Drosophila melanogaster: one gene and its partners. The protein of the gene in region 3 interacts with the protein of the main gene of each other region in a pairwise test. Each region holds a gene or a part of one and is shown on either strand. Other genes may lie near its edges. The genes, in order: ATbp, Sp1, CG42748 and CG15269.

The links.
Region 1: the proteins of CG42748 (region 3) and ATbp interact in a two-hybrid assay, tested with the Drosophila melanogaster proteins (one large-scale study listed by BioGRID).
Region 2: the proteins of CG42748 (region 3) and Sp1 interact in a two-hybrid assay, tested with the Drosophila melanogaster proteins (one large-scale study listed by BioGRID).
Region 4: the proteins of CG42748 (region 3) and CG15269 interact in a two-hybrid assay, tested with the Drosophila melanogaster proteins (one large-scale study listed by BioGRID).

Annotation. Positions count from the first base shown.
Region 1 is NC_004354.4:23,102,468-23,109,949, reverse strand, and holds ATbp ((A+T)-stretch binding protein), read right to left. Parts: upstream 3,948-7,482; 5' UTR 3,847-3,947; coding exon 3,667-3,846; intron 3,607-3,666; coding exon 2,620-3,606; 3' UTR 1,619-2,619; downstream 1-1,618. UniProt on the Drosophila melanogaster protein: May be a transcription factor for genes having (A+T) stretches in their promoter and/or enhancer regions. Binds to AT rich DNA.
Region 2 is NC_004354.4:9,726,720-9,734,602, forward strand, and holds the start of Sp1 (Sp1), read left to right. Parts: upstream 1-2,928; 5' UTR 2,929-3,164; exon of another isoform or gene 3,165-3,580; 5' UTR 3,581-3,844; coding exon 3,845-3,958; intron 3,959-7,883.
Region 3 is NT_033779.5:22,130,712-22,138,754, reverse strand, and holds the start of CG42748 (uncharacterized protein), read right to left. Parts: upstream 4,423-8,043; 5' UTR 3,648-4,422; intron 1-3,647.
Region 4 is NT_033779.5:15,106,101-15,114,933, reverse strand, and holds CG15269 (uncharacterized protein), read right to left. Parts: upstream 5,530-8,833; 5' UTR 5,350-5,529; coding exon 4,408-5,349; intron 2,842-4,407; coding exon 2,020-2,841; 3' UTR 1,842-2,019; downstream 1-1,841. Other genes in the region: stc (shuttle craft), read right to left, coding at 1-634, 700-1,044.

The DNA of each region.
Region 1 (7,482 bases), on a different chromosome or scaffold from region 3:
CTAGCAACCGGAGGTCCTACAAGATTCCCGTACGGCAGTAGAGGCTCCCCAGAATATATAGATTTTGCTGTCAGCAGGGGCATACTGGATATGCATGCTGATATATTGAACGTTCTGTTGCTGAGTTCAGCTCCGACCCCCTACCGCTTATTATACACTAGATGCAACAGCTACAGTTTATACCAAGATGGAGAGACCTAGAAGAAGCTGTTGACACTCTCACCCTTAATATCAAGGCATCCAGGAATTCACATCAACATTTGCGCAATATGCAAGACGTTGGAACATTGGCATCAATGGTGACAAATCAGCGAATGTGTGCTACACACTGAAAAGGGGAACACCACCGGCTGTGCTCATCGATGGTACCCCTGTCCCCCAGTCCAATTCATCCAAATATCTTGGTGTAATCTTGGATCGGAGACTCAACTTTCCGAAGCAAGTGCGATGAGAGTGCGTATACGTGCAGCAGCGTCAAAGCACTTCTGGTTAATTAATTTGCGAAGTAAATTGTCACTCTCCAACAAGGTGACAATTTACAAGCAAATTTTAGCGCCAATATGTCGGAATGGTTGCCAAATTTGGGGCTTGGCGTGCGACAGTCAAATTCGTCGCATTCAGGCTGCCCAAAACAAAATCGCCAGGATGATAACGGGATACGAATGGTTCGTAAGGAACGCAACCCTGCACAAAGACCTCAAGCTAGCCACTGTCTTCGAGGCAATAAACATGCACTCCAGCGGGTACCACGACAGGCTAGAGCGCCACAGAAATCGCCTAGCCCTATACAAAATTAGTTATGTGCTAGTGTAACCCAATGCAAAAAAAATATCTTAATATCGTTCTCGAGCTATTAATTTTGGACAAAAAAGGTGTTCAAATTTCCCATAGTGCGAAAAATTAAAAAACTCAAAAGGCTAGTGCGCGAGAGCAGGAAGGACCCATTTAAAGCTGCTATCGAACTGAAACAGATGCTCGGCATATTCGCAATAGCAGAAACAGTTCGAACATGTCTCAGGGAACATGGTTTAAAATACTGAAGTCCAAGGAAAGTCCCTCCTTTTAATGGGAGACACATAGCCAAGCGCATTAACATTTTATGGTCAGATGTGAGCAAGGTTGTTAACTTTGTGGGCAATGGATAAAATACAAGAAAAACAAGAGAGATACCCGTTGCTCAGCTAGTGTGAATGCGAACACGAAATTTTATCATTTTATTATGATATCGATAGATATTGGGGAATAAAATGAGAAAAAATTTAAGAATTGTTCAAAACTGTTTTTTGGCAAATCGATAGAAATTTACACAACTAATAAAATTATGAAAAAATATCAAACAATTTTTCAAAAATGTGGGCGTAGCAGTTATATACTTTATATGGTCGGATTCCTTTCTGCCTGTTACATACTTTCAACGATAATAAAAAGGCAGTTGTAGCTTCTCGAGCAACTAACAATGGAAAACTTTGGGCTGTAATTAAGAAGTCCTGGACCTAAATATCCCTTAAACAGTGCCAGGACCTGAATCAATCCATGCCAACACGTTGAACAGCTGTTTAAAATTGAATATTTAAGCATTTTTCATGACGTGGCTAATTAAGTTAAGAACTCATAGAACAATGTAATTATTTTTTATTTTCTAATAAGTGCATGATTTAACTTTTCTAAAAAGGTATTTTTGCTCTTTTTAAATCCTAAAATTGGGACTTATTCAAACCTTGATTGGGCAAGTGGTAATATTAAATTTTTCGCAGCTGTATATATGGCCATATATACATAAATATTGTGTATCTAGGTAAATAACTGTTCTAACCTTGTAAACTGTAACTGACACTATTTCAGCAACCACTAGATATGTCCCAGAAATCTCGCTGTCCTCAGAATCCATTTCAACTTAAAGTAAAAGACTTACTCAAAGGAGACTAATCGGTTTTAACACATTGTGAACCAATTTACTCTAAAACAAAACTCACAACGGTCTAGACACCAACATATTTTTTGGTTGGGCTTAATTCCGTCTTCTAAATTTTGGTCTCCTTTACACACATCATTGCATGTACACTTAGAGCGTAAAAGATAACGGGGGTTTTCATACCTCTGCCTAAACATTTACATTACATTTACATGACAACCTAAGCCTACATTAGATATTAGTTTATATTTGTATATTTTTATATACTAAATATGCATACATGTTATATATATTTATATTATATATTTATTTATATACAATATATATTCATTTGTAGAGCATATATATATACACATATGTGATATACATATATATGTCACTTGCCTGCCACAATGTTGACGCAGTGCTAAATTTTAATTTACAGTCGGAATTATCCAGAATTATTTAATTTATAAATATAAATATAAAGTCTATAACTTTATTGAGTCTTAGAAAAGGCAGAGAAATCATGGAAGAGACAAAATGTAGAACTCTTTTGTACACACCTTGCTAATTCAACAGATTTCTGTGGCTCCTAGCACAATGAACATTTTTTGTGGCAAACAAGCGATTTCCTTGAACTTAAGTCAACATTTTCAAACAGGGTTTTTCGAGATGCAATGTGGTTAATTGGGGAATCTTTGAGCTGTCTCTGTTTAATGTATAGCCTAAAAGCGCTGCGGCAATATCTCGCTTTTGATGCCTCTCAGTGCGTGCTTTTTCTTCCGGTGTGTTGATAGGTTGCACGACTGCTTGAAGGAGGCACTGCACAGTTCGCAATTGAACCGCCGCTCCTTGCTGTGAACTACCCGATGTAGCTCCATTCTCGACTTATACTTAAACTTCAAACCACAAGTCTCGTAATCGCAGACGTACCAGCGTTCTCCGTCATCTGAAGAGACAGCACTCCCGGCGCTGGCCGTCGTGCTGTTAGAGTCCTTGGGCAGCTGTTCCTGACTGGCGGCTAGCATAGCGGCGGCCATAGCCGTCGAAGGAACGACAGACATGTTTAGTTGCTGTTGCTGCTGTAGAACATTGGGTGGCGTGGTGCTGACCGTATTGGAGGTGCTGGTACTGGCGCTGACGCTTACAAATCCGGACCCTGGCGGTGGAGGCGGTACAGGTGGTGGAACTAGCTGTGGCAGATGGTAAATGGTCCCCCCAGCTGCTGCAGCAGCCTGCATTTCGGGTGTAAGTGTCAGACTGCTGGGCTCTATTTTAATGTCGATGGCGCTGTTACTTTGGGTAGTTCCTTCGCCTGTGGATACCACAGCTGCGGAGGCTGCAGCGGCAGCTACCGCATTGGCATGGAGTTCAGCCAGCTCCTTGGCAACATCCCGCTGCTGTTGGAGCTGCTGGTGGGTCTGCTGTTGTTGAACCTGGTGTTGCTGGTGCCCTTGCTGCTGAGACTGTTGGTGTTGTTGCTGCTGCGCTTGCTGCTGCTGCGCTTGCTGCTGTTGCACTTGGTGTTGCACCTGCTGTTCGTGCATTTCCACCTCCCGCTGCTCCTCCTCAGAATACTTGGTTGAGCAGGTGTAAAGTGCCAGAGGCACACTGATCGCTGTGGCGCCTTGCTGGGAGCTGCTTCCTGGCGTTGCTGCTGCCGCCGCAGCCTCCACATCCGTTAGGCAGTAGCTGGATGTACGACTGTGTTCCTGTGTAAAGAGACCAAGGGTTATAAACCCTCCGCCAAAAAAAAACCACATAAAGCATACCTTTGCCACCCCGTGCATGAAATTATGCTCATCCTGTATGTGCTTCCAGAACTGATCCTGTGTCTGCAACTCCTCTTGGCACGTGTGACAAACAATCCAGAAGCTATCCCCCGACAAACAGAACTCGCCCAGCTTGGTGTAGATCTTGTTGTTCTTGCTGAGGATGCGCGGAAAACCCATGGCGTTGTTTTGTTTGACTAGGTCCGGTCCTTGTGCTGTTGTTTGTTTATGTTTATTTTTTTTTTGTTTTTGTTTAGCTATCGGCCGAATGGGCACTGTCGATAGTATCGATTAATCATCGGCCTTATTTAGTGTCGAACTTGAACGCAGCTATCGCATTGATGGTAAAGAACTACATATCAGTGGTCCATAAAAAAAACTTTAATTAGGAATTATATTTACAAACGATAAAACGCATGTGAAGCTTTGGGAAAAAATCTTAAAAAACATTGGTTTCCTCAACAGGACACTCAAAAAAAGCGTTAGACATTGGAAGAACCAAAATACTTTTATAGCATTTTAAATATCTTCTATCGATATATCGATAAGGTAAAAACTTCTAAATAAAAGTCCAGAATCGCGAATTTTCTATCGATATTAAATAACTGTTGTATGGAATCTTTAAGCCTTTTACAATTTTAAAAATGTTGTGAAGTACCAAAAATGATTTTCATGCCCTCGTATGGTGGAGGCGTATATTAAATTCCTTGAAAAGTATTTAACAGGTAAAAGGAAGCGTTACCGACCCTTTAATGTATATACATATATTCTTGATCAGGAAAACTAGTAGAGTCGAACTGGACTTGTCCGTATCAATGTTTTGCTGTTTGAATAGCTCCATCTTTCTCGCATTTTCATTATCAGAATGAAGAGTTCTCCCTTACTCCTGAAAGGGTCAGTCGGTTATTTAGTTAGAACACAAGCATTATGTTAATAATTTTTTAAATAACGTACTACATAGTGTGTCCTGATTATTGTTAAGCATTGATTTAATGTGCTTTGATTACGAACTAATCGATGTTTTTTAATTTTCCGTTATGTGTATAAATGAATTTATGTATGAATATATAACAATACCGAAATATATTTGAATACAATCTTTTTTTTGGAAAAATCAATTATTATTCAATAATATTGAAGTCACTAGGAATCGTTCATTTCCTTCTGAAATTACCTTAATGCGTAGCTTAAAAGATAATATTATGGATTTTGTTATACAAATGTACAGTGGAGAAAATACAATCCAAAAGCAAAAGTATTGAGTACTTGTTATTGAAAAAATGTAAGTAACGCAAGACAGACACTTTTAAAATGATACCCTACCCGAAAACACATATGTATATTCATATGTGGCTATGTAAAATGTGAAATATATGTATATATGTATGTGTATTTACATAACTACATACTTAGGTATGTGCGATATATTTTCACATTTTGTTTTGTCTTTGCATTTCCCTACGTACAGACCGATAGACTGGCATGGATAGATCGACTCGGCTATTGATCCTGATCAAGAATATATATATATTATATGGTCGAAAACGCTTCCTTCCGCCGGTTCATACTTCTCAACGAATCTAGTATACCCTTTTACTCTGCGAGTAACGGGTAATATATGCCCCCAAACCTCACCTCCCTGAAACACCAATCTTTCTAAAATCGACACAACACACAATAAGTTCAACAAAAACAACACGACCCCAAAATTGATAAGGAAAATATTAAATAATAAGCAAACTAACGATCTTTCCTAGACCTACATTTACACAGATGGATCTCAAACAAACAAAATTACCAGCTTCGCTATTAACTACGAAATTTAACTTATCAAACGGCACATCATACTAGCCATTATTGAGGCCCTAAGAACTCATAAAAATAAAAGAGCAAAATTCTGCATTATTAAGAACACCAGGAAATGAACTCGCTGACAGCCAAGCAAGAACCGCAACAAGCCATCCACTTACAACTATTGAAAACTTTAACACACAGGACATACTTAAATATATAAATAAATGTATATAACCAACATCTCGAGGACATCAAATTGGCATCAAACATCAAGCCAAAATCATCTTAACAGCTACCATTCTTTTGCTTGGACTAGAAAAAGCATACGAAATTAGAGAAATACCTATACAAAATTAGTTAATTAAATATAAGAGGCGGTGCCACGGCCACAATTTTTGGTATCATAAAAGATAATGGCAAAAAAATTTAAATATCTTTATCCGTTCTAGAGTTACAAACTACAACAAATATAAGGGGCGGTTTCAGAACGGATATATTGTAACCCAATCTGAATATCTTTCAACGTCCTGGAGTTATTCATTTTGGGCAGAAAAAGTGGTAAAATTTCACATAGTGGTACGTGGGCAAGTTTTGAAATATTCGCACACCCTAACGACGGCAAACCGCCCAAAAGGTTCACACCCACACTTTTGTGAAATGTTATAATTATTTTTCATTGCATTTTTTGATTTTTTGCTACTTTGTATCGCTTTGCCAAAATACCTCCACCATCTCATTCGAACGCCAACCAAATTTTTTAAATATGTTTAGACTTTTTTATTTGGTTATTATACCCGTTACTCGTAGAGTAACGTAGATTCGTTTAAAGGAATGTAACACGCAGAAGGAAGCGTTTCCGACTGTATAACGGATCAATAGCCGAGTCGATATAGCCATGTCCGTCTGTCCGTATGAACGTCGAGATCTCAGGAACTATAAAAGCTGGAAGGCGGAGATTTAGCATGCAGATTCTAGAGACAAAGACGCAGCGCAAGTTTGTTGATCCATGTTGCAACGCCCACAAGCCCACGAAAAAATGCCACGATCACTCTTTTGAAAAATATATTGATATTTTTTCACATCTTTATTAGTCTTGTAAATTCCGATCGATGTGCAAAAAAAAAACTGTTTGCCACACCCACTGTGACGCCCTTAAGCCGACAAACCGGTCACGCCCCACTTTTGAAAATTGTTGAAATTTTTTCTCATTTTATTCCCCAACATCTTTTGGTATCGCAGAAAAATATCTGGGTTAACGGGTATCTGATATTCAGGCAACTCGACTATAGCATTCTCTCTTGTTATTCTAAACAATTTTATGGATATGACAATCAAGTTTCAAAGTTTCTCCCTCGTTCTCCCCTTAGTTGAGTGGCGCTAGTGGAGAAAATCTATAGCGGTTCCTTTTGTTATTTTAACTTTTTTCCTAAACTAATTTTCCATAACAGAGATAAATTAGTTGGAAATTGTCAATATATTTCTAAATTAATTTGCTTTCTTTAAATATCAATTTATTTAATAGATAGAAAATTCATTTCGTCCTGTCTGTGTTACCAAAATATTTAGAACACTTAACAAAAATTCATATAACGTTCTGTTATATGAATTGCTGTTTGATTAACGAATGATTAAAACGTTTAAAACGTTACGTTTCGAAAATCAGAAAAAAGGAAAGAAATGCATACATTATCTTAACTTCAAAGCTTTTAAAGTTTTCGAGGTGACAGCGCCCTTACACGGGTATCTGATAGTCGGGGAACCCGACTATAGCATTCTCTCTCGTTTGTTGTTTAAATGGTAGTTAATGGGCTTTGCATTTTTCTATATTTGGTCTAGATCCTGAAGGCTGTGTTGATTTTGCAAAAAAAAAAAGACCATCGATTTTATCGTTTAATACAAATACAAACAGTCTCCAAGCTATAATTGTATCCTGAATTTTTGATAAGAATGCGTTTAGTGGGATAGGCCGGTCGGTATGAGTTAAGTATGGTTTTGAGAGCCAAAAACGGATACAGTACTAAG
Region 2 (7,883 bases), on a different chromosome or scaffold from region 3:
TTGAAGGATTTTGGAAAATTAATTTTTGGGTCAATTTTCGCTTTTTTTGTAAGGGGTAACATCATCAAAATTTGCAAAAAATCTGAAAAAAATAGATTTTCCATTTGTGGATACAGTTCGATTGGGAATTTAAATACGAGCACAATGAGGTATGATATTCCATATTCAGACAATTATTTTTAAAGTTATGGCCGAAAAACTGATTATTTGATGACCGAAATTCAGAAAAACCGATTTTGCCAAAAAGTTAATATTTACAAACGGAATTTTCGTGATAACTTGGCTAAAAATGCTCATATAGACGTAAGAATAACTGTTTTGAGCAACTAATTACCAGTGCTAACGATAAGTATGAGTTTTTGAAGGATTTAGGAAATTTAATTTTTGGGTAAATTTTTGCATTTTTTGTAAGGGGTAACATCATCAAAATTTTCAAAAAATTTCAAAAAAAAATTAAATTTTTATTCTAGAATACAGATTGATTGGAAATTCAATTACGAGCTTAGGAAGGCATGCCATTTCATATTTGGCCCAATATTTTTAATGTAGGGACATAAAAACTAAAAAATTTTCGGCGGAAAATCAGAAAAATTACTTGTGGCACTGTTTCACTTCACAAATGTATCGACTTGATGTGAGGAAATCGGAGCCACTCAAAAAAGGCAACAATGCCGATAGGTAACCACCCACTCATATGGTAAAGTGGGGGGAAAAGCGGCGGGAAAATGCGTGGCAGACCACCCTCGGCGGGCGGAAAAGAGACAGGTAGTGGCGGTGAGACAGAGCGATGTAGTGCAGAAAGCTGATTCGCCGTACAAATATCAGTGAAAGAGATGAAAACCCACAGTTTTCCACAGGCAGGGGACTGGTGGAAAATGTAGTGGGGAAAAGCGGGAATGCCGTCGTGCAATCAGTCAGCGTTATCAGTTTGCCCAGCTGATGAGGTCCAACCGCAATTCCATGGCCATGAGGAGTCAGGAAGTGGCTTGGCCTTGCCTGCGACTTTGGGCACACCCCTTCGACCCACCCACTCCGCCGAAACACCCACCCACCCAACGCCACCACTTAATGTGTTGCATTTGTCCTGCAGCACGGTCGTGATTCGAAGTTGGGCAGCACTACAGGTCACTGTAAGAAACAGGAATTGGAAAGCAATAGTTATCGCTTAAAACACCGGAAAAGTTAAAGTCAAATATTTCTTGTATTTTTATTTATCTTTTATTTATAATCATATTGAAAATTAAAACTAATAATAGGTGTTGGTTATCTTTAAAATTGATTTCATTATCAAGTTATTATGCTCGATACGTGCATACTGATTGGCACAAGGCCCACTTTTCCTCAATTTTCCCGCTGTGCAGAGAATTTCCCGCGGCCAGGCAACTTGTGCTGGGCACACTTCCACATCTCTACTGCCACATCATCCACCTCCATCGACAGTCCGTTGCTGGTTTTTGGACTTTTCAGCTTTTCTCACAGGGGCTGGCGTTTTTCGGCTGCCTGGGCGTTTTGTTTGCATAGAAAGGCCGGAGGGGTGGGGCGGCGAGAGGCGGGGCGGTACAGGGGGTGTGGTTCAATTAGCCCGCTTCTCAGCTGCAGCCCTGAAATGCAACAGCTCGACCGGCAGCTTCCAGCTGTGGGAGGCCCAACTGGCACGGGTTAATCTGGATTGGGTTCCGAATAATCACGACTTCTCGGGATCTTCCAAATCAGAGTCTAAGTACATATGTACATTGTTTTTAGTTTTCCTAAAATATTACTAAAATAACATGCTATGTAATCTTACAAATACTTTGAATTTCGTGAATTTTCTGAAACAGAATTTTCAAATGTGTCAGATAAATTCCAATTGTTAAACCCTTTTCTGCAGCCTTACATCCGGTGAAATCTTCCAAGTATTTGTTATGATTTTCGAACATTCTTAACTATCTATATATATTTAGCAATATTTTCCATTTCTAAACGCTGTGATAAAACCACACCTGGATTTATTTTGCTCAAGCTAAGACCATTTAAAGTCGCAATTTCCAGAGTTAGTCTACTTTTGGGGGCAAAGCTGTTGCAATCTAAGTTTCGCTGGTCTTTTCCAAATTTCCTTTTCTTTAATTTAGTCGTTTTCGAGGTAAAAACACGACCATTTCCCCGCAAAACTCCCTTTCGCTGCGACCGATAGTAACGAAAAGTCGAAATGGAAAACAATTTGTCATCTTGCGTGGATTTTCATTTCTATTCTCATACATATATTTCGTATACCCTTTTGTTTTTCCTACGATTTTCAGCTATCCAGTTCTGGGAAAACAACATTGGCGAACATTTAATTGAACGCAATAGTAGTTGTTGCCGTGTGTGCATTTGTTTTCAGTTTTTAACGCAGGCACGCGATGAAAGAGAGGGCCGCAGGACTGTCGAAAGAGACGGCACGAGGGGCACGTGTCCGTGTGCGTGCCATCTCGCTCGCACAGCGGCCATCGCTCTAATTATAGGTTAGGCCCGTCCGATCTGCCATTGGCCAAAGCGTTCATATAGAGGGGGCTGTGCTCTGGGAACTGGTTTTACCCAAAGCAGCCGGGGTTTTTATGAATGAAACTGGAAGGGAAAGGCGCACACACCACCAAAATACGAATACACGAATGCATATATATATATATATATATATCTTTACCCCTGGCACCCATTCGCACCACTCTAGAGAGTGGTGTGTGTTGTTTTATATTTTGTTGTTGCTGTTGTTTTTGGATTGTCTGTACGAGCGTCTCGCTTGCACTGATGGCATCGTTGGCCCCCACGTTGAATTTTGGTTAGTTGGAGTGAATTTACGACTGTGTGCTATCTCACTCGCACCGCTGCGGCAGCTACGCCGGCAGCGGCAGCGACTGTGGCAGCGTTGGTGGCAGCGGCGACATTTAGACAAGCTTTTTGTTCGCGTGAAACAGTTGCAAGCCTTTGAACGATCAGCGACGACGGCGTTACTTTTGGCGCGGATACAGCAGCGACACTTTTTTTTCGTTGGCAGGCGCCTCCTGTCACCAAACAAACAAATAAATAAACAAATAAACATAAAAACAAACAAGCAAATAAATAAACAATAAACCAACAAGCAAACAAACAAACATAAACAAGCCAACAAGCAGCCAAGCTAAACAAAACAACTGTGTGCATTTTTGGTTCGAGTTTCCTTTAATTTCCATCGCTTATATTTCATTTTTTTTTTGCCTGTGTTCCTTAGAAAAGAAGTCTATAAAGAATAAAAAAAATAAAAAAAAAATTAAGCCCATATATAGGCACAAAATCCCAGTGACAATAAGAGCAGTCAAACATTGCAACTCTCAGCAGCAAACATCAGCCGACGGCCGAGTGAAGAAAAGTGCAACGCCGACGGACTCGAGAAAAGATACAGATACAGATACGGATTATACATATCTGGGCTATTAGCTGGGCCATAATCTGCTCTCAAGCGATTTAGCCCACTTTGCTTTTTTTCTGAGTGCGTGTGTGCTTGTGCTGTGCTGTGCTGTGCTGTGCTGTGCTTGCCAATCCATTTGTCCATGTCCTTTACATCTTTTTTCCCTTACTCTCCAAGATCAGTGAGCCTGGCCTGCAACAATAGTCGCAACAAAGAAAAAAGTAGTTGAGTTGAGCAAGAAGAAAAGAATAGAAAATCGAACCCTAAACCCAAGTGGCCGCAAAACAAAGCAGAAGCAAAACAGACAGCATCATTGTGCGCCTCAAATTGACATCAGCAGCAGCAGCAGCAGCCGCAGCAGCAACGACAACTGCCACTGCCACTGCAGCAGCAGCAACATCAGCAGCAGCAGGAGACGCAGCAGGAACATCCACAGCAACCATGTTAACGGACATGACACCGACCGCCGGTCAGCTCTACGGATCCCAGATTCCGGCCATGGGCATGAACATCAGCAATATCGCCACACACTTGCAGAAGCCACAAGTTAATCCGGTAAGCCGAAATCTCAAATCCCAAATCCGAAGATACCAAAACCGCACCTCGAGATATGTATCTGCAAGATAGGTCACTACAGATACGATTTGGTCAGAGCGTTCTTATCGAAGTGTATCTTTCTTTTAACACTGGGCCTCAATTATGCACACTTACCGTCACTTTACACACAATTGCCATCCATCGAATAGAAAACTATCGACAGCATAGCCCAAAAGTAGTAGATTCTATTATACAGATACAATTACAGGGTGTAGAGATACAAATGTATCAATCTGTATAAGAAATTATAAAATTATGCCAATTATGGTGACCATTACTTTAGATACAATTGTCATGTCAGAAAGTTAATATTTGTAATATACAGAATTACAAGCATAATTGGGTCTTAATCAACTGTTCTAGAAAAACTAGTGTTTTTTGCACCCAAAAACGAAAAATGCCAATGTACTAAGAGCAATTTATTACACCCACTATTCGCTTCGCTAAACATTTCATAGTTATCGCTGCAGAGTTTAGCCCGAAAGTATCTCATAGATACATATGTGGGCTCACTGCGCACAAGTGACTGGCAGGCATTTGCTGACTTAGTCATGATTTGATGAATGCCTCCCGCAGACACTCGTGCACTTCGACATAAATCATTCGCGCAGAGAAGTCAAGAAGTTACTTTACGGCAAGTATTTCTGTATCTCACAGTTGCGGCTGCCAAATCCTTACCAATTGTCGCTTATAAAATATATGTACATACGTACAGTAATCGGACAAATCAGCCACTTACACGGCATTAGCATTGACAATAAACAGCCATAAACAAACAATGACAACAGACGCCGCGGATTTCGATTTGTATTCAGTTACGGATACGATTTCGCATCCGAGGAATTCACAGTAGCGCACACCTTTTGTCAGCCGCTCAGCTGGATTCCTTTTGTGAGGCGATGATGATTGGAACTCATCGGGATTGTTTGGTAGTATCTAATGCCGGGGAACGGGATACAAATCGATTGGACGCGGCTTGTTCAGCCCCGGATTTTTTCACTGTTTTCTGTGTGCCAACGGATTTCACGGTATGCGCCGCAGATACATAGCTGCAGATACAGATACTATTGATAGGCTGAGATACTGAGGTACCAGGTAGGCGCCGTTTGCCGTTTCTCGTTTCTCGCTCTCAAAATCAATTATTCAGGCTCACTTGAGGTGTGAAGCTAACGATGGAATCATTCCTGGGTCTACTTAAAATCTTTTTTTGTTGTTTTTTTTTTTTGTTTCATTTGGGGTTTTGGCAAATCTGTAGAGATCGTATTTCCACGCTGACTTTTCGACTCGTATCGCTTATCGCACAGCGGAAGCAAACACTTAAAGGCTAAAACGCATCAGGCAGCCGTTCATAATGATCTTTTGGCCCCGATCCAAAATTCGCTCATCAATCTCGTCCGGCCTTTGATCTGGACCGAAAAACTAAGACAGATTTCCGCTAATGATCGTTTTTGTACGGCTCCTCCGGGCTTTTGCTCTCGATTTCAATTCGAATTTCAGTTAGCTGATTATGCAAGTCCATCGTGCTGGCCCACATCATATGATATTGGTTCAAAACCCTGTAATTCACAGCAAAAGGTCAGCGGCTAGATCAGTTGGCTAAAAATAATTTGTTAAATTCCCCAAATGAAAACTTTGATGTCAATGCTAGAAGTCATTAAAATCAGAATCAGGGTTTGTAAAGTATTTAAAGAAGAATATAGTGTGTTCTAAAGTGTATACTTTAAAAGTTTAGCCAAACGAATAATTAAATAAATAAATTAGGGTTGATTGTACTTTAGATATACTATCTCTGTTCTGAAGGATTAGCCCGAATCGCATGACACTTTTAATAGAGTCAGCAACGCCAAATGGACGCAATGTGATTGAGGCACTTTCAATCTGCTGCCCCTGGCCACCACCTGCCCCTCCCCCCTCCCTCCTTTCCAACGTTCATTTTTCTCCGATTTTTTCACCTTTTTTTTTTTTGTCGAACCAAAGTGCAGACGCCACGCAATTGCGTGTGCCCATAAAAAAAAAAATGTATTTGCCAAGAACCGCAGAACGAAACGAGCTGGCTGCTATAAACTGGCCTGGTCTCTTGGTCTTTCGGTCTCGTTCTCGTTCTCCAACGGATCTGCATATTGATGGAGCAGCGAGGAACGAGAAACGTTTATTAAAATTAATACCACATCAATCATTTAACAAACGCGCCTGTCGGCCAAGTTCAAAGCGACGGCTGCGACTAGACCAAAAAGCAAAAAAAAAACCATATAAATATATATATATATATATTTATAAAAAAAAAAAAAACTGACTACGTCTTTGGGGTCTGCTTAAGAAAGTTACACATGCGCATTGGTTTTAATTAAAAGCGTTTAAAGACATCATAGGAGAGAAATATCAGAGGGGCAATGAAAAAAATGAACAGCAGGCGCAGAGGAAAGATGATAAATTACCGAGACAAACTGAAATTAACATTTGTGCCGGGAAAAAAAAGAGACAGCCGTGTGGCTAGCAGATCACAGAAAAGCTCAGCTCAGCTCCGCTGAAGGGATTATACCAGACTATACTATACCAGACTATACCTATATTGAAAGCCGCTGTTAAATTATTGAAAATCATGCAACGATCCGCGCCGTTTTCCCATGAACAGCAGCCTCATTTGTTCAGTGTGAGCTCTGCGTCGGCATAATCAGCATAACAAAAGGAATTAAGCAATAAAATATTAATGAAAATACACTGTGGAGAAGATCGCCGCGTCATTGACTAATTTGTTTGTGGTTCTCCGGCATCTTTCTCCACTCCGTTAAGAAGGCGCCAGAGATCTTGAAAGGTAGGGAGTGGCCAGCGGTAGCCGTGACAGGCGCCCCATAGATCGTACACCCGGAGAAATTTCACTGACCCTATGACCCGAGGAAAAACTAGCAAAGCAGTTGTATAAAGCAGATTGGCTAAGCATTGCCATTTAGCCGAGGGTTACTATTTTCATAAATTTCGGATCATTTTCTTTTACTTCTTTAAGGAGGTTTTTAAAGGAACTTCTTGCTAGCAAATCATTTCTTCCTTAGGCGATATGATTGCGAGATCAGAGATATTCTTAAAATGTACTTACAAGCATGATTATTTTGCCAGTGCACTTACACCTCCTTCTGGCTGCTCGACATATTTACTTAATATGATTTGGCTTAATGAATGCGCCTTGGCTTTTGTGTCTGCCCCTTTGCTACATTGTGGCCATTTCATTCTTTTCCCCTCTTTTCTAGTCTGGGCATTTTTCACCTTTGACAAAGGCTGTGCCCGTCGCAATTAACTTGCGTCATTTGGAAAATTAGTTGGCATGATGCTGCAAAAACGTTGGGGAATCCAGAAAGGAAACGCCAGGGAGGGGGTGTGCAAGCGGCACAAGGTCGCTGCCGCTTCAAAAGTGCCGCTTGAAAAGCCTTTTTCAATTTCGGTTTTTCCTTTTCACCCCGACTTTTATCATTTTTTTTTTTCTTTTTTTCATTTTCAATTACACAGACCACGCACCAAAAATGCATATGCGTATATCTGATATTCTGACTTGCAGTTTATAACATGGCTATAAAGAAAAAAACTGCGGTGAGAACACGCTGCGTATACGCAACGCTTGCAGCGACAAGCTCGAAATTTGCATGCCAAAATGAGAAAAACTGGAACAGACCCTGACCGAAATTTTAGATCAGCGATTGATTGACAAATAATTCAATAAACACATCAATATGCATTTGAATGGCATCGAGTGTCAGGTGACAGAATTCTCGACTGCCATTTTGAAACGCTTTTAAAAACATATTGCACCGATGGGTAACCCTTCTAGAGTAAACTTTATACGCCCCTCAGGGTTCAGGCTGGATAATTGAGATTACAACACGTGTTAACTGCC
Region 3 (8,043 bases):
CAGACCGAATTTCTGTTGAAATGGACGGACAGATAAGCATGTCTACATCCGATAGGCAGCTCATATAGATCAAGAATATATAAACTTTAATTCATGCGCTGCAAACTTCTGACTGAAATCAAAATACCCTGTGCAAGGGCATACAAAAATAAATACGTTTTTCAACAGTGTGAACGGAAAAGTTTTAAGCGGTTTGTGGGTTTAGCAATTTTTATGCTCAGCAGGGATTTTACAGTTCATGGCATCACAAACGTAGAGATTTTATTTTATTTACAACACTACCTAATCTCTGATTACCTTTCATGCGAAACCAACTTTTCCAAGCAATTGTTTGGTTGCTACAATTGCACATCTGGGGTGTGATTATCACATGCACATCTACATATGTATGTACATGTGTGGGTACACCTAACATATTTAGTAACGAGGCTTGGGAGCCTTTTATTTTTATTTTATATTATGTCTATGTTGAATATATGTATGCATATGGAGTATTATAAACTAAGCAAGAAAGAGCGATGTAGGCGGGTTACTCGTTACTAAGCTATTTGGTGTGCGAACGAGAAATTAAAAAATTCTTTGGCATATCCACAGAAATTGGCACAGGAATTATTAAAAAAGATAATATCAGCACATTTTTCGAAATTGTGGGAGTGAGAGTTTTGGAAGTGGCAAAAAAAAGGTGACATACTGATAGAAATTTCAATATATGTACATACATATGTATGTATATTTACGGCAAGGGTATAACTTAAAACATAAGCAAAATCTTTTTTCTGCATTCTACTTAAGTACAAGTAATAAGTATCGGCTATTTCGGATTTTGGCTTCAAACAGATCTTACGATTTTAGTTACTGTGTTTTTGAAAAATATATGGTCCTTTCTGTTATAATTTCTTGTATTGTGTTGCTGGGAAAAAGCAATGAAAAAAGAGGCAATTGTACCATACAGCATGGGTTCATTGACTTTTTTCACTCGTTCACGCTACAGAGCCTCTGAAAGTTTTTTCACATATTTCGGTATTGTTGTGGCCCTAGTAGTAATTGGCAACGTCCCACATTTTTAAGCATAAAGCCCAAAAGAGGAAAAAATTTACAAAGCCACAATACCGAGACTAACATACCCTTACTGCTTGAACCTTGAACCCAATTGCAGGAAATGGAAATCGCCTTGTTTTATGATATTCGAATCAAAATGTAAGAATATATTTACGATTCTTCGTTTCGAATTTGTATGTAATTGTAGCCAGTTAAATTAAGTTTATTTTTCGGGATTAAAAACAATCAACGTAAAAATAAATATACTTGTACAGTAAAAAAAATATATAAATAGATTAGAAATAGGTAAAATGAGGCGTTTCCGAACCGCATCATAAACCCTCTCGAAAGCTTTCAAGCAGCTCAACGTCCAAACTTTTGAATATTTTTCCTTGATTTGTATAGATGTTTTTGACACGCCCGCTATTTTAAGACATTTTTTATTTAATTCGTTTTTAATAATTGCGTAAAAAGAGTCTAGTGTTTTGTGACTTCACAATACACTATAAAAAATGTAATATTTTGGAACGAGCCTTATCAAATGTTTAGTTTACCGTCATTGTATCTCTAGCTTAAAAAGCTAATGCAGTAAAGTAGCGGGTTTTTCAAAAGTCATAGAATTAATTTTTTATATCGAGCAATTTAGTGTAATAAAAATGTGTGCAAGGGCCTGAAACAACTTGTGTATTCGCTCATACAAAATCTATTGCTCAAAATGGATAGTGATCGTGTTTGTTGCTAAATAATTATAATAATTATCCTTCGCGAATTTTCTACGGAAATGTGTTCTAAATATTTGAATATTTAGGAATTGAAATTGATCGAATCGTTTTCAAGAAATCCAACAGAAATTAAGAAGATATATATTTGTTTTAATCATATTTTCTAATCTGCTGTTGCTTAGACAAAAAACGTTCCAAACACACTTTTTCTTTCATAACAGCATTTGAAAAGCATTTCGTGCAGTGTAAATAGTTACATAAATTGAATTTGAAGTATTATAACGTTTTACAAAGAACTAGAAAGATATATATCCGAAAGTTGAATTGAAAGTCATATTCAGCCGAGTTGATCCAAGAATATATATATACTTTATATGGTCGAAAACAGACCTTTTTGCTACTTTAACCTAAAATTTAAATGACGTATTTTATAATTGTTTATACATCTAGTTGAATTATAATTTCTTTAAGCTAAATCTTTTGGGGACAAAAAACGCTTTTGAGGCTTTGAAAACATACAGTACCGCTTACAGTAGGTTTCACGAAAGACACTAGAATAATTTATTTAATTTAGAACTTCGAATAATTATTGTAATGTCTATGGTTTGACCTTTTCCAATTTTCGAAACGTTGCAGCTCCTTAAAGTGGACTACGATTTAAGCGAAATAAATTGTCGTTGTTGTTGTTGTATAAAAAAAACGTCATTTTTAAAATAGTTTTGGTTCTGTTAGTTTTGTTTTTATATTATTTTTTTATTTTAATTTAATACTTTTAATACTTTTTATTTTAATTTATACTCTCCATAACAAGGGTCCCCAAATGTGTTTGATAGTGTTGATGTGAGGGGAGCAAGGCGGCCACTCAAGCAATCTTAATCCACTGTTTTACGATTCAAATCAGTGTCATAATGGAACGTCAATTGAATATGAACATAAATCTCAGAAACCGTTGGAAAACCCTTTTAAGGTACAGCCTAGTACGCATTTGCGTTCATCTTCGAGGTGACAAACTGGAACTGGACCATGTTCCATAAAAAGATATCGTGAAATTAGTAATTATAACCATCAGGTCCATCAAGGTTGAACTTCTTTTCGTCGGAGAAGGTTACCGTCTTCCACTCCTTGTTCCACTCCGTGTTTTCGGGCAAATCGAAGTCGTGATTTTTTTTCGAGCATCATAATGGAGTTTTTTTTTTCAAATTCTTTAAGTTCGCATTCTTCCCTTATTTTACCATCAGAATGAGTGGAATTTGGTAAGTTCGTATGATAAGTCTTTCCTCCGATGCTGTTGTTGCATGTTTTTCCCTCCACTCATTTTTTATATAGTCTGCTTAGTTACGATCAAAATTGCTAATTGCTTTGACTTCGACCTATTTTCTTCGCAGATTCCATATCCATATAGCCTTTTACTTTACCTCGGTTAAAGCTTTTCCACGGCCATTTTATAAATAAACAGGTATTGAATGTCTTAAATAATAGAATACAAAAGAATGCAACCTTTTTCAACCACACGGTCCAACAAAAAGAGAAGTCAAAAGGGTAAAAGCTATTCAGATGAGCCAAAAACAATGGAGATTTCTTCTTATATAATATAAATAATATAAAAACATACATAATATAAAAACATATAATATAAAAACAAAATTTACAGAACCAAATCTTTGCTATTCCAAGGAGGACTGTTTTCTTTATAAAAAATTTAAAATAGTCAAACCTATTCAATTATGCGGCAGTGTAAGTTCAAAACAACAAACCGCACAAAAATTGGAATAAACATAATTTATTCGGTTCGTTTTTTTTACATGACCATTATGGTAATAAATTTACACAGCTTTTATTTATTTATTTTAAAATATACATGTATAAAATATATATACATCGGTATACCTTGTTTGCGGATCGCTGACTTTATGTTATACGTAGCTGCCATAGAAAGGAATCGTTTTAGTCAAAATTGTACTATGTACTTCGCAGTGGATGGCAGTATTTTATATGGCCGTATTAAACATATCTTTTTTGTGTAACTGTGTAAATGTATTTTCAAATAGAAAGCGGTGAGGTCTCTAAGAGCTTTCTAGTAGCAAATGTGATCATATGCATGTACATACACATACATTTACATGTATTGTGTTGTTGATATGTCGGGAATGCAGTAAACATTTTTATTTATATACAAATCCATGCTTAATTTTTTATTCGGCTTCAACATACATACATCTGTACATAGATACTTATATAAAATAACAATAGAATGTTCAGTAGAAAGAGTCCTGACCGGTTGGGCAATATGACAAGCGCGACAACGAAATCTCCGCGGTCTTCTGGTCACTTTTATAACTTTTTGAAAGGCATTGTATGTTCTCCATGTCTAATTTACAACGAGCTATTTTTTCTTTGCTCTGCTATTTTGTTTTGTGCCCTCAATATTCACGTAAACACTCAGATACACTTCTTTCTCAAAACTACTGTAAACGAAAGCTGGAGAAATAGGCATTGTTCATATATTTATATGTACAAATGTGTACATCCTATATACATATGTACATCGTACATATATCCACAGACGAAATACATATGTAATTGGGGCGGCTACAGACACATTGAAAAGACCGCACGATTGCAAATGGCTAACTCGCAAAGACAACGCTCAGATAGAGACTGAATTGAGCGGAGCAAAGCTGTAAACGTGTCTTAGACTAAACGTGGCCGAGAGAACCGAGATAAAGCGGAGACACGAAAGAGGCACGAGAGAGATCCGTTTAAAGCCATGAGCAAGGCGAACAAAGAAACTGGTTAGAATACAGGCAGGCTTGTTCCAAAACATTGGGAATCAAAGAAGAATCTCGGCTAGAGAAGGGCGCGACGAAAATGGCATGAACCCTTTTTATACCCACTTAAATGGGTATGACTTAAGCCAAAAACAAAATACGCAGACAGCTTTGCGATTTTTGTACATACATACATAATTATGTATGTTGCATATATATATGCACGTATATCTGACATTACCGCTGCAGTGGAGCGGTAGAATGGGTTGAAAGCGGGTTGAAAGTATGTATGCAAACGTTGAAACTAACAACATTTTTTAAAATATTATACATATTAGAATAGTTCAATTAAATACATACAAATATACGCAATAATATATACAGTTTGTCAAGAAACTGTTTACACACTGTGAAATAAGTTGAATTTTTGACTTTAAAGCTAAAAATTAAAGGTTTTTTGCTTAATTAAACGCAATTTTTTTATTCAATATAATTAAACAATATTTATTTTACTTATAAATCAAATCAAATTAAAAATATTAAATATACAAGAAAATAAACACCAAATTCCAAGTTTGCACATATTTGAGACTGTCAAGAAACTCTTTACACAAAACACTAAATCGAAGTTTAATTCTAAATTTTTTAATTATTTTATTAAAATTTTAAAAGTTTTAGTATGTTCCCCATATATATACGCGTATATTTAATACCAATTATTTGAAATATAGGTTAAATATGTATATGTAAATGTTCGTAAAATTTTTTTAAGTAATCAATACAAAATCAGATTATTGTTTGCAAACAAAAGAGCTTTTTTTTAAATTTTATTTTTATTTCTTGTATATTACAAAACAAATTAAAATCTGTAAAAGTCCTTGGCGACCAACATATGTATGTACATATTTATGTAGTAAGTGCGGTAAGACCTATTGTGACTATGGATAATAACTATATTGCAAGTGTAGATATTATTACCATTCTGCGATATATCTCTTACATCGAAGGCAATAAGATATTTTTTGTAGTGCCTGAAGTACCCTTAATATACTACCGTGGACGATAGTGACGAAGCGCACTAGAAAAGTGTGCGAAGGCGACTATTATGTGTACATATGTATGTAATGTACATATGTATGTTATACTCGAAAAACTACATGGAAATCTGCGGCAGCTTTCCAATCAACAAGATATTCACCAATTGGAAAAAACCGCTAAACCTGAGTGGGCGTGGCCAAAAATTGTTTGGCGTCTTAGGAATCTGCATGTCAAATCTCAACTCTCTAACTTTATAAGTTCTTAAGATCCAGGCGTTCAGACGGACAGATCGTTTAATCCTGATCAAGAATATATACACCCTATATAACGGGTATAAAAAATAGTAACATTCTAACATATACATTTGGTATATACGGACTTTCTTTATAAAAATGTAGCAATTTTTTAATCGACACAGTTTTTAATCGGCACAGTTATCTTCAACTTTTTATACCCCTGCCCTATTTTCGTAGAGTAAAATGGGTGTACCAGATTCGTTGAAAAATATGTAAGAGGCAGAAGGAAGAGTTTCTGACCATGTAAAGTAAATATATTCTTGATCAGGATCAATAGTCGAGTCGATCTGGTCTTGTTCGTCTGTCCGTCCGTATGAACTCAGGAACTATGGAAGCCTATAGAGTTGAGATCAAGCATACAGATTCCAGCCACGCAAGTCACGCTCACACTTTTGTAAAATGTTTTTCCATTTCTTCATTAGTAAACACCCACAGTTTTGAAAAAGCGTTGAAATTTAATTTTTTTTTTATTTTACAAATATTTAATTTTTAATATTAACATTATGTATGCCTCCGTATGCTACGAAAACCAAATTTTTGGTTTGGAGTTTGAAAACTCAAGTAGGTCCCAAACATTGATTTTGTTTTAAACGACCCCGTTGCAACTCATGATCCTCCAAGTGGTACCCTGGGTACCGATTTCAAAATTTTAATCAAAAGCTAAAAGCAAAAAGATTTTTAATTTGACTGCTAAGTAACGGATATGTAATAGTCGGGCAACTTGATTATTGCGTCCTCTCTTGTTTTAATTTGATGTCGGACTATATTTAAATACCTAAAAGCGTAAAAATAACTACATATTAATGCACAAACAATAAAATTGAATGCATACTAACTTTTCTTATGCTTAAAATATTACAAATGTGTGTATATTATTAGTTTAAGTTTCAAATTAGTGAGTAAATGAATTTTTCACATTTCTTTATCTTTAAGTCATTTTTGAAAGGCAGGTGGTAATTGTGAGCCTGCACTAGTTTTAGGAGATAATAATTACGTGTTTATTTTAAACAAAATCGGAAGGTACTAGTCAGTAAGCATTAATTATTATTTTTTAAATAAGGCAAATATGTATATTTTAAAATATGAAATACATGTATGTATGTCCGTATAAATAAAACCGTGAAATCAAATGTCGATTAAGTCATTTGACATAGCCAAGCCAGGAAATTTGCGGCTGATCCAAAAATATCTACCTGAGTGTAGCATAGGTGGGATAAATTTGGGCAATACGACCAAGATCGTCATCGTTCTCCAATTGGGAATCCTTCCGTGTACGCCGAACTGGTAGGCTGGGCATCGCTTAGCTTCGAACCCAATTACGAATATAGCAAATTTATACGCGGTATTTGTAGCTTTCCCAGGATAACAACACAATCCGCATAGACGGAATCTGCGATCAGGGGTGATCAAACGTTAGAATTTGCACAACATTTGGGTTTGTTTACCTTTTTGAAGTTCGAGATCGTAATTGCTTGTCTTGTGAGACGTAGATAGTTTTCAACGTTGGGGGTACTCCGGCCTTGGTTGTTAACCGCAACCAAATACTTAGCATGCAATTGGCGCAGTCGAATGACGGAAATTCACATTCCCTAAGTGCTCGTTAAATAGAAGTTAAAATACTAGAATTGTATACATATACTGAATCACTTGGTGAAAGAAATATAAAATGTTTGTTATCACTGATAAATTTTAATATACATTTTTAAATTCAATCAAAGTCAATTCCATATTATCTGTACTTCATTAAAAAATATAATATTATTAAAACAATACGATCCCCACCGGCGTTGTATATTTTCACCGATTTTACGTGTTTCATTCATTCTTGAGTTTCCCCTGATACGTGTCTGCGTGCTGCTGGATGTTCTTTGAGTTTTGTAAAATTTTATTTAAGTCAATGATCACTTGAGCGGTAAGGTTTGAAAATATGTTCACTAGCCTAAGTGCATGATTCAAAGAAAAATATACATAACATTTTCTACGTTAAAAAGAAGCATCTCGACTGATTTGGTTGTTTCGCTCTATCAAGCTCACGTTTCGGTTTTCCATTATTATGTAATTTGAGTGATATATATCGATTTTTAAGAATTTAACACACATTATAGAAACATAAAAAATATAGAAACATAATAAAATTATAGTGCCATCACTCGCGTTTATATTAATAATAAAAGAAAGAAT
Region 4 (8,833 bases), 7.0 Mb from region 3:
GAAAGCCGTTGATGCGGTCCCTGTTGCGATTCCAGTCATCCCTGCGTTTGTTGCTGCGATGATTGTCGTAGCGTTGCTGCTTCTGCGGCCTCCTACGATCGCTTCTTTCGTACCGGTCCTCCCGATCGTCCCGATAGTCGGAGCGGCGTTGTTGTCGCGTATTTCCGGGTCTAGAGTCCCTGTCCCTGTCCCGGTCTCTGTCCCGGTCTCTGTCCCTGTCTCTGTCCCGGTCTCTTTCCCTGTCCCGGTCCCGGTCACGTTCCCGCTCACGCTCCCGTTCGTAATTATGGTTCGAGCATTGGTTGTTAGCTCCTCGTTCAGCTGGTTCTTGGGCTCGCAGAGTCCTAGGTCTCGTCTCATTTATGGCAGTCTCTAGGCTGGCAGTGCTGTTTCCGTTCGTAGTGGCGGCTGCCGGTGTCTCTTCTAGACTCAGCTTGGCGAAATTGGGCACGAATTCCGGAGCCGAGGCCTGCAGCTTGGAAGCGCTGAAGTCAAACGGATTATTGCCAAAAGGTGTGTAAAAACTCGAAAAATTGCTGTTGCTCGGATTGACCGACCCATAGCTGCTGGTGACGGTGACTCTAGCGATGCCATCGCCATTTTGATAGGTTGGGATCATGGCCTGCGAGTAAAACTGTTTTGTGATTTATTAGTTGATTCATTAGGACTAAACCTAAGTTCTAATATATCGAAACATACATTCGGAGATTGATGACTCACATTTGCAAAGTGGCTGGTACTCGCGGATGCCACTGGTGGGTTCAGTCCAAAGGCTCCTCCACCGCCGCCCAGGGAGAAGTTAGTGTAGCTGCTGCCCACCGGATGTTGCATAGTGCTGGTGGCATTCGAGGGCGCTCCTCCACCCAGATTGTGCTGCATAATGAACTGATTGAAGTTCACGTAATTGTTGTTGCTGTGCCTGTTGCAGGAACCACCCACTGCCGCCGATTCGTGACCTCCGTTGCAGTCTGCCATGGCGGATGACTCATTGCCGGGTCCCGCTTCTCCGGCGCCGTTGGTCAACTGCTGCCAGTACTCAGCCATTGAGAGTCCGGTGCTGTCGTTGGTGACCAGCGTCTGTTGCAGTTGCGCCTGCTTCTTTGCCGGAACAATCTCGAACTGCCCGCCGTCCTCTGCTGGGCATTTCCCAGCGCTACCACGGGATCGTCCGCAATCCGAGGAGGAGGTGACCGAACCCAGGAAAAGCTCCAGACACGTGTGCAATGGTGAAATTGAGCCCAATGCAGAAGTTAACCGAATCGAATTCTCAGTTCGATCGAATTTGGTAAAGGCTTTCTACGGCCAACTGGACGCACCGCAGCCTGGGTCCGCAGGCACGTTTTACTGATTTTTTTGCGCTTTTCCTGCGTTTTTTATGCTCGCTTATATTGTAAATTTCTAACAAAATTTCACAACACGGTCATACCAGACGAAACGGTACCACTGACAATTGCCTTGACTTATCGATATATTAACAGACTTTCGATTTTTGAGGGGAAAAGGGCTGCCAACTCGGTTTTAGGACAGCTGTGAATACAATTTAACAGCAAGATTTCGTTTAGTTACTCAACACACCTACAGTGGTAATAAACTATCAGGTGGCGCCATCTGGCTGAGTGAGAGCGCACTTTTAAATATGTTAAATGTACTGCAACGGTTCGTTCATTTGTTTACTAAAAAAACATACATCTTTTAATTTTTGTCACTAGAAGATTTGAATTAAATAAGGCTGCGTTATCTGATTATAAGCGAAATTACCTAGTTGGACTCCCAATCATATCTCCAATCCAAAATATTATTTCTAGAATCCTGGAATCCTTTTGTATTTGATATTATACTTTATTGACTGGCCAATATATATGCCTATTTTAATAATAATTAATGTCTATTCCTAATTTAATTTCTAGCAAAATTATTGCTTGAAAATAAATGTAAATTGAATAACAACAGTGGAAGTACTGCACTTTGTAATTGCCACAAATTTGGTTGAAACTGGCCGGGCACAACGATTCCACCCATTTAGAATGTCCTGAGATTGCTGAGAAGGGTTTGCTGACTCGGCGGTTGGGATGGACCAGATCCAGGTGTTAGAACTCCAGGAGGTGGCGGCATTTGAAATGTTTGAGCCATGGCCATGGCCAAAGTGGGCGGTGGACCTGTTTGTTGTTTTCCCGGTACTGGAAGTGCGGATGATGTGACCGTGAGTCCATCCAACGGACGGTACTGACACTTCTTAGCGTGGGTTCGCATATTGCTCGACTGGGTGAATGCCTGATTGCAGTTGGGATGTGGGCAGACATACGGCTTGCAGCCTGTATGGTAATTCAGATGCGTCTTTAGGTGATGCTTTTTGGTGAAGGCTTTGGGGCACAGGGGGCAGCTGAAGGGCTTGATTCCCGAGTGGAGGCGATGGTGCAGGGTCATGTTGCTGCGATCGGCAAAGGACTTGCCGCACACGGAGCACTGATACGGTTTCTCACCACTGTGCGTCCTCATGTGCTGTTTGAGCAGCATTTTACGCGAAAATCTCTTTCCGCACTCGTTGCATTTGTGGGGTTTCACGCCGGTATGAATCCGGACATGCATATTGAAGGCCACACGCTGATTGAACGATTTGGGACAGTAAGGACACTCGTACTCCTTCCGGTTCCGGTGAATCTTTAGGTGACTGCTCAAATATCCCTTATCGTTGAATGTCTTGCCACATTCGGGACACTCGGCGGCAAACTCCTTGGTTCCTCGGTGAACGGACAGGTGATATTTGTAATTTCGCAGCTGGGAGAAACCCTTTCCACAATCCGCACACTCGTAACGCGGCGATTTGTGCGTCTTTTCATGAGCCTGAAATAAGAACATAATAGACAAATAAGATAAATAAATAAGATACATTAGCTTAGCAATAGTAATATTGTAGCAATAGTAAGAGATTTAAAATTTTAATAAAAAACCTGAGGTAGTGAAAATCTGTTGTGAAATTCATAAAACAGCGATTTTCTACAAACTGTTCGTTAGTTAGTTAGTTTTTGGAAGGGAGGCTTTCAAGATGAGTATGTTTAGCAACATTTTAATTAGGTCCTAATATTAATACCTTATTCTATAAGTTCTAGTGAGGATTGGAAGATTTCGAATATAAAGTTACTGAAAACTGAGCTTTGGACACATTTATACTTATACAAAATAAGCCAGAAATGCAAAAAATACCATGGTTACACATTCGAATGTTCCCCATTGTTTGTAATAATTTTGTTGCAACTTCAAATGTGGCTTGCTTCAGTTAGCTACTGAAATTGGTGTTCTTTCCCAAAGTGGCCATTTTGTGATTACCTCTCGCTCGGCGTCTGGCCCTTTCTAACGTATCTTGTAGCTGCACCCATGCGTAAAACCAGTTCTCTCTTTTTTGCCCGCTTCTGTTTCTGTTTTCGGCCGACTCCATTTTGAACTCGGATTGCTTGCGAGATTTGCATAAGGCACTCAATTCTTCGCTGCCTCTCTCTTCCCCACTCCACTTGAATCTCCACTCTTTTCTTCGGAGCTCCGCCTTCCAATTAGACTACTGTTTCTCTGTTTTTTAGGCCCCGCCCAAATCCATATGGTATCTCTGTTGGTGAAGAAACCCGTTTTGGGAGGATCTCGTGTGGATGTGGACTTTGAGGACCGGCCAAACGATATCTTATGTGATGTATGGCCATGTGAAAGGTTAATGCTGTTCTTGGCTTAGATGTTTTGAAAGGAGTTAAATTCCTAAAGTTATTTAATGGCTTTGCAATAATAATTCTCAATCATTTAGTACTCCGCATAAACACATATTTCTTTGTGATAAATGTATACGTAACCGTTGATGAGATCTAAATCATTAATTTTTTTGTTACTTATAATTAAAAAAAAAAATACGCGTGCATTTGCCAAATGCTTGTGTGTAAGTACAAACTCTTTAAGTGACTTTACGTATAAGTTTGATTGTGCTATTTAATTTATAAGAAAATTTCATACAATCGTTCATTTCGTTTCGCTTTTTTTATAACTAAACAGCAGCAAACTGAAATAAAATATAATCTGGCAAATCTAAATCATTTCATTCTTAAATTCTAATTGGGAATTGCATATATTTTTTGAATATTTGTATTTCATTTTTTAAAAGTTGAAGGTCTAATGAAATAAAAAAAATTAAAATTCTGTCTACACTATAAATATAAAAATTTGTTTCGTGGGTGTTTTGTGTTTACTCGTTTTTGAGGGATTTTAAGAATAAATTGAATCCTTGGGTTAGAGTTTGGAATATATTTAGGATGAATTATCTTTTCTAAAGCTAATAACTGATAACTAAACGCTTTGGTTGTCATAAATGATATATACTTGTAAACAGAACACCATCGTAATAATAATTTAATAACAATAATAAAATCTCACCTGCAGAGTTTCAGAGCATCCGAATACCTTCTCGCAAATCCGGCACTTGTAGCTGATCTCCTCGGCGGATGTGGCATTGTATCCACCGATACCACCGATTGCTCCACTGTTGCTGCCGACGGCTGTGGTGATCAGTCCACCGGTCATCTTGGGCATCATTCCGACGGCCGTTGCCTGGACCGAGTTCAGACTCAGATTGGTCACGGTGGTCAGTGAGATGTTAGTGCTGGCGGCTCCTCCAGTGGCACTCATAATCAGATCCCTCACAGGACGTATTGATCCGGTGGAACTGCTCACCGAGGAGGCGGCGGGTGAGATGAGAGGTGCGGTCTGCTTATAGCCACCAGTCTGCAATCTTTGGTAATAATCCAGGCACTCCGGGCAATCCGGACGAGTGCATGCGGTGCTTTTGGTGCGTATGAGAGGTTGCTGTTGCTGCTGCAGTGGTGGTGGTGGGGGAACCGATCCATTGATCACATAGGGAGCAAAGAAGCGTTTCTGCTGATTTGGCAAATGCTGCTGATGCTGATGTGTTTGATAGGGCGACGTAGGAGGAGTACTCAAGCCGGCAGCCGCTGCAGCAGCCGCATAGGCGGGCAGTAAGTGCGGGAAGAATTGGGCATAGAACTTGGTGGCATTGGCCATGGCCACCAAATCTGGCGGCAACATGGAGTAGGCACCGGAGGCATAAGGAGTTGATGGTATTGCCAGCCCTCCAAGAGCCTGTGGGCTCCTAATACTGTTGCTACTGCTCTTGGATAGATCCAGGATATTCGTGCTCGTATCCTGAGCGGATTTACGCTCCTTGCCCAGAATCTTACTGATGCTAAAGTCAGTGACTTGAGCCGGTGGCAACTGTGCCCCAGCTCCCAAGTTCTGGACTCCATTGGTGGGTGAAGTACGCGCCGGCGAGGGCGAAAGGTCGTAACTGCGCTGCAGCATGGCGTGCTTGAAACCCATTCTTCTCCACACCGAAGAATCACTCATAGACCGCAGGCGTTACCGTTTCGGATGACTATTTTCTGAGGCGTAGGCGCTTTTTAGCCCGGGGAACTGTCGCGTTACGCGTCGAAACACGAAATGTCTTGGCCTCACAGCCCACAGCAGCCGTCATCGTCTTTTGGCCGGGCCTAAAGCCTGGCTTACGCTCCCGCTCTCGAATTTAATTGGTCGAGAAACAGGTTTGACCGTACAGGTCGGTCTCGCTCCGTATCTCTCTCTCTCATAGACCGGGAGTCTCTTCTCCAATTAACCAGGTTTGACTGCTGGAGACAAACTGTCGCGCCTCCAATTACGAGAGGAGCTGCAATCTGCAGACCCAGAACCATTTGCTAGTAGCGTTCTACTAGTCACATCTATCATAAACCTTATCGCTCCTTTCAGATCGCTCTCCGTGCACTACTCTCTTTCATTTTTTTTATCCACTGGACCTCTCTGATAAAGTGACTAAGATTTCGTTTTGGCCGCGTTGTTTTTGTAATTAATTGCGGTAATAAAATGTGCGCATCGTTAAATTTTCAAAATGTATTTCTCTTGTTCCTCATCCACACACACACATTCTCATCCCCGTCCACATTCACATCCTCGCTGATTCCGAATCCGATTCCCAGGCATGTGTGAATCTTACGGTTATGCGCATGCGCAGCGATCATCTCTTGAGGTGACTTGGTTCGTCACGGCTCTGCAGTCTTAGCCATGTGTGAGTGTGGGAAGGAATTGAAGCTAGGGACTAGATGACATAACCGTCAAACGATCGTCAAAATGGTGTATAGGAAATCAGGTATTTTTCTTGCGAATTTAAAAAGGGTTGTTAACGGTTCATGATTGACCACACTGGCCAAAAAACTTAACGTAAGCCCAAAAGGTCTAAATAATCATATATGGATGATTATGACACCCTCTTGAAATATTTTAGTAATTAAGGACGTGCTGTGCCATTAAAGTAAAGTAAAGAATTTTTAAGAAACAACAATTTGAACCCAAATATTTTTCCATAAATTTATTAAAAAATAGCCTATGCCAATTAAGGGTGCCCTACAAATACCTCTTTCTGAAGCATTTAAGCTTGATCCACTACATTTAGTTGCCATCCAAGAGGGACTGTGACCACTTCCTCGACTTGCATAGCATCAGTAGCGGCCATAAAAATGTGCAAAACAAAATGCTCCTCAAGTGATTTGTGATTGGATGAAACGCGCATAAATAACATGGTATCCAGGCCGAGGATTCGGAGGATCCATACACAGGTGAAGTAAAATGGTGACACACCACGCGAATTCAAGGAAGCTGCAGATACAAATGAAGTGGTATACATTTACAGCTACATGGAATGAGATCCGGTGAAATGGAGTTGATATTCTGACTCACAAGGATTGGAGGATTGAAAGTCTCTGTTTTCTAATTGCCAATTGCCGCATAGAGAGACTCTAATGCGCAAGGCACAATCTTGCACACGATTTGTCCACGATCACTTACAAAACGATCTTATCAGGATTACCTGGCGGAGAAGCCCCTTCAAATCCTCCGCGCTAGCCAACTACCGATCCTCTTGCCAGTGATTAATAATGGTTTGACTGTCAACACGCGCTGCTCGCTTTGGTTGACCACGATCTGCATAAATTTTGATTAAACAGGCTATTCATTATAATTATACATATGAGGACCGGGCGAACACCACAAAACTTGTTCAACCTTAGTTGAAAAACTCTTTTTCGTATTTCGTTTTTTTTTTTCAGTTCGGTTGGCATTTCGTGGAATTCCGCCAGATAATTTACATATGCGAAGCGAAGGAAACTTAAGTTTTAATTACACTCACTAAATCATCGGGCCTCTGCAGCAGACTCCAGGAGACTTTGTTTTGTCGCATGACTAATGTTTATTAGCTGCTAATGGTTTGTTTTACAAAAGCTACGTGGCTGCCCCATGCGAAGTCCCTCCATTGCCAGCTCCATCTCCATCCGTAGCATCCCATCGCAACGCATCCAGGTGACTCGCATGAACGCTCCAAAACTGTTTCACCCGTTGACATTTTGACAAATTTCCAACTCCTTACTACCGTCGTCGTTTTGGGGCCGTCTCCAATGTAAGCTGATACCTATCTCAGATGCCCAGATCCCCATCTCCATCTCCATCTCCTCGATCTTCCCCATGGTTCTTCTTCTTTGTTCACACTATTAATTTTCCGCTCGTTATTGTCGGGATTGTGCGTTGTGGTTCAGTCGACTGGTTCCCCCTCATTGGGGTGGTCGGCATTTATCTTATTTTGTGTGCGTTTAAAACTTCTTTGTGAAACTCTTTAATGTCATGTGTTATCGGTTAATGATCAGCCGCGTTGCCAAGTGATTTTCTGTCAGCGGGTGATCAACTTTGCCTGGGATTTCCCCACCGAACTCCGATCTTCACCGCCGGTTCGGGTTTGTCCTCCTTACGGATTCCGTTTAATTTCCTTAGTTGCGTGGACCTTTGGTTTTATTCGCTGATGGGGCTTTGGATCGTTGGATTGTTTGGACCTTCTCGTCTGCGCCTTGTTATGTGTAGCTTGACAAATGTGTTGATTTGCCAAGTTTATTTCCAGCGATGGTGGGTCCAACATTTTGGCAATAAGATTGAACGACCTTTTTGGACTTTCTGATCTTTCAAGGCGAACTAAAAGCAACAAAAATATAAAGTTCTGAATTTCCAGGTAACACGTTTTGGCCATGAAATGTATTTGAGTTAAATTGAATACAGTAATTACAAAAATGATCATTTTAAATTATTTAGAGCTATGTATAACATAAAGAAAAAATGTTTAAAATAATGATGACAAAATAGTTTTATTCGCTTTACTTTCAAAACTAATCGGAAAACTTGAAAGTGCTTAGAAATGGTTCAAAATTTGCATGCAAATTCTACAGAAACGCCCACCTCCCAATTCCCAAACTTATGTATTTGTCAGGCCTTGGCAATAAAACTAAAACAGGGCTCTAACAACAGCATTTAGGAGGTGTTATACTATTGTCTAGCCGCGATATAATTTATATGGATGGAATAAAAGTTCGCTGAAAACGAGACAGAGACAAAGGAGAGTAGAGCGCGAACAAAGCGATATTCGTAAATTATATATGCACGTCCATATATGTATGTACATATGTATATACGGATCCAAAGTGGCTAAACTATATAGGTATGTATGTTTGTGCATATGAATAAACGAGGCGTATGGCTCGGCAATGTTGTAGATCACAATCATTTCAATTAATTCGAATATAAAATACGAAGTGGAGACGGCGGCTTTTGCAAAATGAACAGCGTGCGCTCGTATATATCAAATTTCAATATAAATGAGCTACAAACATAAATCAAGGGGGGAGGCCCTTCGACCCTCTCGATCCCCTTGCCATATATTGAATCCCCCATGGACCCCCCACATTGAAAAACACACGAA